Canis lupus familiaris: one gene and its partner. The protein of the gene in region 1 purifies or fractionates together with the protein of each later gene. This does not show direct contact. Links are inferred from orthologs where the notes say so. Each region holds a gene or a part of one and is shown on either strand. Other genes may lie near its edges. The genes, in order: ZFC3H1 and MPHOSPH6.

What was found.
Region 2: the proteins of ZFC3H1 (region 1) and MPHOSPH6 purify together in Homo sapiens (affinity purification with mass spectrometry; 3 studies listed by BioGRID and IntAct, with this or other methods). This does not show direct contact. The link is inferred for Canis lupus familiaris from reciprocal best matches to the Homo sapiens genes ZFC3H1 and MPHOSPH6.

What each region holds. Positions count from the first base shown.
Region 1 is NC_049231.1:13,582,693-13,587,296, reverse strand, and holds the start of ZFC3H1 (zinc finger C3H1 domain-containing protein), read left to right. Parts: upstream 1-1,677; coding exon 1,678-2,290; intron 2,291-4,604. Other genes in the region: THAP2 (THAP domain-containing protein 2), read right to left, coding at 879-949. UniProt on the Homo sapiens protein: Subunit of the trimeric poly(A) tail exosome targeting (PAXT) complex, a complex that directs a subset of long and polyadenylated poly(A) RNAs for exosomal degradation. The RNA exosome is fundamental for the degradation of RNA in eukaryotic nuclei.
Region 2 is NC_049226.1:70,408,044-70,411,416, reverse strand, and holds the end of MPHOSPH6 (M-phase phosphoprotein 6), read right to left. Parts: intron 1,863-3,373; coding exon 1,768-1,862; intron 1,354-1,767; coding exon 1,218-1,353; 3' UTR 651-1,217; downstream 1-650. UniProt on the Homo sapiens protein: RNA-binding protein that associates with the RNA exosome complex. Involved in the 3'-processing of the 7S pre-RNA to the mature 5.8S rRNA and play a role in recruiting the RNA exosome complex to pre-rRNA; this function may include C1D.

The DNA of each region.
Region 1 (4,604 bases):
CACAGAACTTTTTTTTTTTCAAGGCTGCTTTTCTGCAGGCACTTGCCGAGAAAGTAAGCATTTATGGAGTACTTACTGTATTTCACACAGCCTTCAAAATGTTCTCAAGGGCTCCGGTTAGACAGAAGGAAAGACTGGATTGCTCCTGCAGCCATGGAGGAGCCACACCTAAGGTCAGCACCGTAGTGAGGAGGAAAGCCGGGCTCCGCACTGACAGCTCAGTTCTGCGCTCACCCACCTGCGCGGGGCTGGTAGGCACCTAAATGCTTCCCACGCCAACCTGGCTAGTGATCGCTTCCCGTTTTTTTTGTTTTTGTTTGTTTTTAATTTTATTTATTCCTGAGAGACACAGAGAGAGGGGCAGAGACCCAGGCCGAGGAGCAGCAGGCTCCCTGCAGGGAGCCCGATGGGGACTCGACCGCGCGACCCGGGGTCACGCAGGTGCTGCCCCGGGGGTGGAGGGGGCGCCCCTGGCTTCCCGATCTGGACGGCAGCAGGAGGTTTCGCTTGCTTGGAAGGCACCATTCCCGTGCAGACCCAGGCCCATGCATCGCGGAGCACGAAATCACGGGATGCTCCTTTTACTTTTCCCCCAGGGAGTAAGCACCGGGCGGGACTCGGATTTCCCTTTCAAAGTGAGTTAATCTTTCCCGGAGGGCGGGGAGAAAAAGGACCAAAAAAAAAAAAAAGGAAGAAGAAGAAAAAAAGAAAAAGGGGAAGGGTGGGGGGGACAGAGGCGGGGAAGGGCAGCGCAAAGGACAGAAGTGCTGCTTCCTGGGCACGAGCCCGGCGGTGGGGTCGGCAGCTGGGCCCCGGCTGCGCCCGCAGCGGCGACCCTGCACCTGAGGGCCCGCGTCCCTAACCCGCGCCGCGCTTACCTGTGGAAGCTGATGTTAATGTGCTTGTCGTAGGTAGTGGCGCAGCCCGCCGCGGCGCAGTTGGTCGGCATGTCCCCGTCGCCGTCATCCGGTCCTGCGGCGCTGGCGGAGGTGCGGGTGCGGGTGCGGGTGCGGGTGCGGGTGCAGGTGCAGCTGCAGGTGCGGGCGGGGGGGGTCAGCCTCCCCGGGGTCTCTAGTAGCACGGCGGCCTGGAGCCCGCGCAGCAGACGGCCCCGGAGCCGCGCTCGCCTTCGTTAGCCTCCCCCTTAAGGGGCCCCCCTAAAACGGAGCGGGATCACTGCGCCCCCTCGGTCGAGGCGCTCGCGGCCATTACAACGCTCCCCGCATCACTCAGGAGCCTCCCGGGCCGTCCACGTCAGCGGCGAGCCCGGGCGGGGCGCGAGCGCTGCGCGGGAAGCACAAACCCGAAAACCCGAAAACCCGAACCCCCCTCTCCCTGCCCCGGAGGCTCGCCCCGCAAGGCGGGACTACACATCCCGGCGACCACCGCGGCGTCCCGCGAGACGACGCGGGAGCTGCGCGGCCGGCTTCCTGCGCGCCGCCGGAAGTGACGTCGCGGGCCGAGCCCCGGGCAGAGCCCCCTTTCTCGCGAGGCGGAAGAGCCGGGGGGCGCTGGGCGAGGGGACGCGGGCCGCGGCGGCCCGGCGAGAGGCGCCGGGGTGCGGGGCAGGCGGGGAGCGGAGCGCGTCGGCGGAGCGAGCAGCCGCCGCGGGAGGCCGGCGTTCGAGGCGGGGAGCCGAGGCGGCGGAGGGCGCTGTCGGGCGGGGCGGCGGCGCGGATGGCGGCCGCCGAGGTTCCGGCGCCGGCGCCCAGCGGCCTGTCGCCCAAGGAGGAGGGCGAGCTGGAGGACGGGGAGATCAGCGACGACGACAACCACAGCGACGCGCGGAGCCGGAGCAGCAGCAGCAGCGGCGGCGGGGGCGGCGGGGGCGGCGGCGGGGCCGGGGGGCTGCTGCCCTACGCGCGGCGGAGGCCTCCCCCTGCGGCCCGCGGCGGCGCGTCCGGCGGCGGCTCGTCGTCGTCGTCGTCCCAGCAGCAGCTGCGGAGCCTCTGCCGCCCGCGCCACGCGGCGGAGCGGGGCCACCTCCGGGGACACGCCGGCTACCGGCCCAAGGAGCCGTTCCGCTCGCACCCGCCGCCCGCCCGCCTGCCGCCCGGGCCGCTGTCGGAGGGCAGCCCGCGGCCGTCCTTCTGGGAGCGCAGCCACATCGCGCTGGACCGGCTCCGCTTCCGGGGCAGGCCGTACCGCGGCGGCAGCCGCTGGAGCCGGGGCCGCGGCGGCGGCGAGCGGGGAGGCAAGCCCGGCGGCCGGCCCGCCGCGGCCGGAGCGGCGGGCTCGGGGTTCGGCGGCGGCCAGAGCTGGCGGGAGCCCTCGCCGCCTCGGAAGAGCTGTATCCTTCACCTGCCCGTCCGCGCCCCGGTGGCCCTGCGTCCCTCCCTCCTTGGGTCCCTCCCTGGGTCCCTCCCTGCGTCCGTCCCTCCGTCCGTTCCTCCGTCCGTCCCTGAGTGCGCCCCTGGGCCCCTCCCTGCATCCGTCCCTGGGTCCATTCCCCCGTCTGTCCCTCCGTCCCTCCCTGGGTCCCTCCTTGCGTCCGTCCGTCCGTCCCTGGGCCCCTCCCCGGGTCCATCCCTCCGTCCGTCTCTGCATTTGTCCTTGGGTCCATCCCTCTGTCTGTTCCTCCGTCCATCCCTGGGTCCGTCCCTCCGTCCCTCACTGGGTCCGTCCCTGCGTCCTGCCCTGGGTCCTTACCCGGGTCCTCCCTGCGTCCGTCCCTGCGTGCGTCCCTGGGTGCGTCCCTGGGACCCTTCCTGGCTCCGTCCCTGCATTTGTCCCTGGGTCCATCCCTCTGTCCGTCCCTCTGTCCATCCCTGCGCTTCCCAGCAAGCAGGTGGCTCCTCGGTGGGTCGCCGCGCGGCGCAGTGGATTGTGTCTCTGGATTTGCTTTTATTTTATTTTATTTTATTTTATTTTATTTTATTTTATTTTATTTTATTTTATTTTATTTTATTTTAATTAATTAATTAAGCAAGCTAACGTATCACGCTTCGGGGGCCAAACCGGCGAAAGTGATCCCCGGGAAGTCTGAAACGAGATTTCCTCCTAGTCGGTCCGCAGCCCTGGTGCCCTGAGCTCAGGTTGATGCGCCCTCCCTCGCTGCGGCGGGAACTTTTGTCTGCGTGCCAGGTTGACTTACGAGTGCTACAGGGAGGAGGAGGGAATTAAAATAAATAAATAAATAAATAAATAAAAAGGGATGCACAGTTTAGGGCCTGATCCGGTTGCTTGCACCGTATCGAACCTTGACGTGGAAAATTGTGAGGTTCCATCCTGCACGGTTCCGCCCTTTAAGGTTCTTCTCGGCCTGTTCTTACACACGCGGCCTTTTTTTTTTTTTTTTTTTTAAGTGGGGGCGGGGGGGGGGGGTTGCGTGCAAGTCCAAGTCACAGGTGGTGCATTCAAGCGACTCTCTGTTAAAACGACGACTCCTCTTCCTATGTTTCGTTGTGGGGCATTCTGTGCTTTTGTGCCCGCCCCGGCAGCACATACACGAAAGTTTTGGGACCTTCTATGACCCAGCGCTGACCCATGTAGGTTAGAGAGAGAAAGACAGTGTTCTGATTTTAGCGTATTGAACGCCATGCGGTGTGCGTGTGAGACGGTGGAGATTATGGGGAGGTGGAAAATAGCAAAATACCTGATTTGTTGTTCCCTCAGATCCCATTATCTTTAAGATTCTTGAGCTTACTGAAGGTTTATATTGGGGCGTCAGCCACCTGAAGGTTTGCTAGCTTATGATGGGTTTGTAGAACTAGGTCTTCGTGATGACTGCATAAAGATGATTTGCCACCTGCAGTGATCACCGGTTGTAGTTGCTACGGTACAATGATTTTTTTTTTTTTTAACGCATTCTATATGAAACTTACACGTGATGACGTTTGTTTGGAAGACCCTCAAGGGTGTTTTTGTAGAATTCTCAAGATCAAATGGTCTTTCCCAGATGTCAGCATGTAAAGGGGCAAGAAATAAGAATCTAGGTACACAGCAGCTTCTGGGGCTAAGGCCCTGAAAACACTTGATTCTGCAACCACAAGTTAGGCGAGGAGCACCTAGGATTGTTTCAAAGAAAATCATAGAAGGATTTGACTTTTAAAAAAGATAGAAGATGTTCTTTCAAAAAAAAGGAAAGAAAAACTGTGCCCAAGATAACTTTTTTTTTTTTAAAGATTTTATATATTTATTCATGAGAGACACAAGGAGAAAGGCAGAGACAGGCAGAGAAGCAGGCCCCATGCAGGGAGCCCACCATAGGACTCCATCCCGGGTCCCCAGGATCATGCCCTGGGCCGAAGGCGGCGCTAAACCACTGAGCCACCCAGGCTGCCCCCAAGATAACTTTTTAAGGAAGTTTTTGTTAGTTGTTGATTCTGAATCTAAAAACAGGCTGTTAAAGCACATACATGTGTGTTTTTTTTTATTTTTTATTTTTTATTTTTATTTATTCATGAGAGACATAGAGAGAGAGGCAGAGACACAGGCAGAGGGAGAAGCAGGCTCCATGTAGGGAGCCCGATGCGGGACTTGATCCCAGGTCTCCAGGATCACACCCCAGGCCGCAGGTGGCACCAAACTGCTGCGCCACCTGGGCTGCCCTACATGTGTGTTTTTTAAGAATGCAAAAGAGGAAACTTAGAATTTGTGTTGGA
Region 2 (3,373 bases), on another chromosome or scaffold:
GTCATGTGAAATCATAGTCTGCCAATATTTGTTGGATTATCCTCTTTATTACCTGAATGGTCTTGTTTGATCCTGCTGAAATTTTGGAACAATACAAGGTCACTCCTGCTACTCATTGGCTGGCAGAGATTTCTCCCATACATACAATGCTGATGGAAGAGATATTAGCAGGAGACACCATTCAGATTAAATACATCTCAGGGAAAACAGTGCAGCTTTGTACCAGCCAATCTGGGGACTACTACTTTACAAGGAGTATCCTAAAACCCAGTGCATTTTCTTTCCTGGGGCCAGTAAAAACACAGGGACCCATGGAAAAGCAGCAAAATATGGAAAGGAAAATACAACTCTAGGTTATACAAGTGAGCTGCTAGTTTGGAAAGTGGTGACTTCTGTGTGCAAATGATTTCTTTGACCAAACAGAACAGGGCACAGTTATGAGTTAATGACTTTCATAATGATTAAAATAAGAAACTAATAATTGTTTTTAACCCATAAAAGCCAATCTCTTATGGTTCATCCTAGCACATTACCATATTCTCAATTAATGATTGGTTTCTTAAAGTTAGCATTTGGATAAAAGTTCCAATACTGAATTAGAATAAAACTATTATTTGAAAGCATAAGAGAAAAAAAGTATATGAAACTTATTTATTACAGAACAATTTTTATTAATAAAAGCTTTAAGCAAAAACTCGTAATTCCACAAACTAACAATGACTTGGTAGCATGCAAGTACTTCTGGCTAGAGAGGCATATTTATTCTTCATGAATTTACACATATAATAGGTCCTCATGACATTTGATTCCAAAATGTATGTATAAATTGGCTTGGCATGATTAATAACTTAAAGTAAAATATAAACATAAGGATAACTTAACAGTGATTTAATTTATGTGTGTCAATTCAAGGTCAGTGACTGGAAAGCCCTATTAAAAAAAAAATCTGAGGTCAAAAAAGTCTTTAGGAAGCAACCACATACCTCTGTATATTTGAAGATCGAGGGCTAAAAATCCATTCCTGATGAACACCATTAAGCAAAGGATGTATAACATCCACCACACATCTGTTTCAAAAATGGCACATTTCCAAAATTATCCATTTCTTTACAAATAAACATCATAGTATTAATAGCTACACAGAGGCCATCAGAATGAGTTCCACAATATGTTAACTCTTACGAGGCTTCCCTGAGCTCTGTCTTAAAGCATCTACTTTAATCCTGGGGCTTTAAAAACATCTTCTTTACTTTAACTGTTGGTTTTATGTGTCCATTTTCATCTTCTTCATAATTAGCACGGTCTCTCTTCTTGGCAAACTTTTTTCCAATTGTCCCCACCAAGGTCTCATATCTGTTAAGATGATATGCGGCACAAATTTAATTAAACAAACAAGTAGGAGTCAAGTCTTGTCAAGAATATTAAACCAAGTATACAACAAGAAAAATCGAAATGATTAAAAAAAGCTGTCTGATTTAAAATTTATGAACTTTTCTATGCAGAATTAAAATCTTCACTTTTGTTTTGGTACTATCCTGTATGAACTTGAGAGATATATTTTAAAATATGTCTTAGAAGCAGCACTGGACAAGAGCCCTCAACTGCTGGCCTGTGACAGGTATGAACCTGCCCCAGCCCACTTTAGAGAAAGCAGGAAGTCCTCTTCCTGCTGGGGCACCTGACAGAACAGTTGGGAAGTGGAGCACCCACGTGAGAGCCAGTGAATGCTGGGCCCAGGTTAGAACTAGGCTCTGAAGTGACTATTACCTTCTGGCCATTTCTTCATCTGACACATCAAGCTCCACTGCTTCACTTTCAACTTCTTCCACTTTGTTTTTAGCATTCATCTGAAGCATTAATTTCTGAAAAATACAGCAGTGCTTTCAGGGTTGGAACAGGCTTATTAAAGAAACTGATACCAAATGTATTTGAAGGTAGAGAAAGAAGAAGTCACAATCTATGTAAGTAGTCCAAATCTCTGAAGGGATGCTCTGTAATACTTTGCTCCACAATGTGACAACAAAAATCAGCCGTGAATGGAAAAAATGACAAAGCACCATTAGATTAGACTTCCTATTAATGAATTTAAATTGTATTTTATTTATTTTTTAAAAGATTTTATTTGAGAGAGAAAAAATGAGTGAGAGAGAGAACACAAGTGGCAGGGAGGGCCAGAGGCAGAGGGAGGAGACTCCCTGCCAAGGAGGGAGCCCAATGTGGGACTCAATCCCAGGACCCTGAGATCATGACCTGAGCCAAAGGCAGATGCCCAACTGACTGAGCCACCCAGGCACTCCTTTAAATTTTATTTTAGATTGTAAATCTTATTAGTTACTTACATCTAAAGCAGGCACACTGCTAACATACTCTAGTGAGTGGGGCAAAGAAAAAGCAAACTTTCAGACTTCCTCCAACTTCCCATCTTTGAGCTAAATATAAGAATATTACACTCAAAAGTGATACTAAATGCAGTTTTTGGTGGTGGTGGTAAATTACTGGATGGAAGGACTGGGAGGCTGGCTCTAACATCATGGGGAGGACTGGCTTCACCCCAGAATACAAGGGTGGATAAAGCATTCTACATGATGTCCATGTGCCATATAGTCTCACCTCCATTTCTTTTTCTCACATTAACATTTCTTGATCATTACCCCGACTAAAAAATTATTTTGGGGATGCCTAGGTGGCTCAGCAGTTGAGCATCTGCCTTCGGCTCAGGGCATGATCCTGCAGTTCCTGGGATTGAGTCCTGCATCAGGTTCCCTGTGGGAGCCTGTTTCTCCCTCTGCCTGGTCTCCATCTCTCTCTCTCTGTCTCTAATGAATGAATGAATGGATGAATAAATAAATAAATAAATAAATAAATAAATAAATAAATAAAATCTTTCAAAAAATTTATTTTTATTGTACAATACCTTCTTTTTAGCAAAGGCAGGATGAGGAAGGGATAGCAGAAGAGAAACTAGTTTCAATTAGCTTTTCCAACATTTAAAGGACTAAAGAGAAAATTCTGGGAATATAAGCTCTGTGAGGGCACAGAATTCAGTTTCCTGTGCGTTTCCAGTGCCTCAAGAGGATCTGATGAACCTCAGGTACAGAATAAATATTTACTGACTAAATAAACTCCATAGTAGGTGTCACTAAAGAGACATACAATATTAAAAATGTGTTCTCAGGGCGCCTGGGTAGCTCAGTCAGTTAAGTATCTGACTCTTGATTTTGGCTCAGGTCATGATCTCAGGGTCATGGGATTGAGCCCTGTGTTTAGCTCCCAGCTCAGTGGGGAGCCTGCCTGAGATTCTTTCTCTCTCCCTCTGCTTCCCCGCACTCTTTCAAATAAATCTTAAAAAAAAAAAAGGCTAAAATGTGTTCAA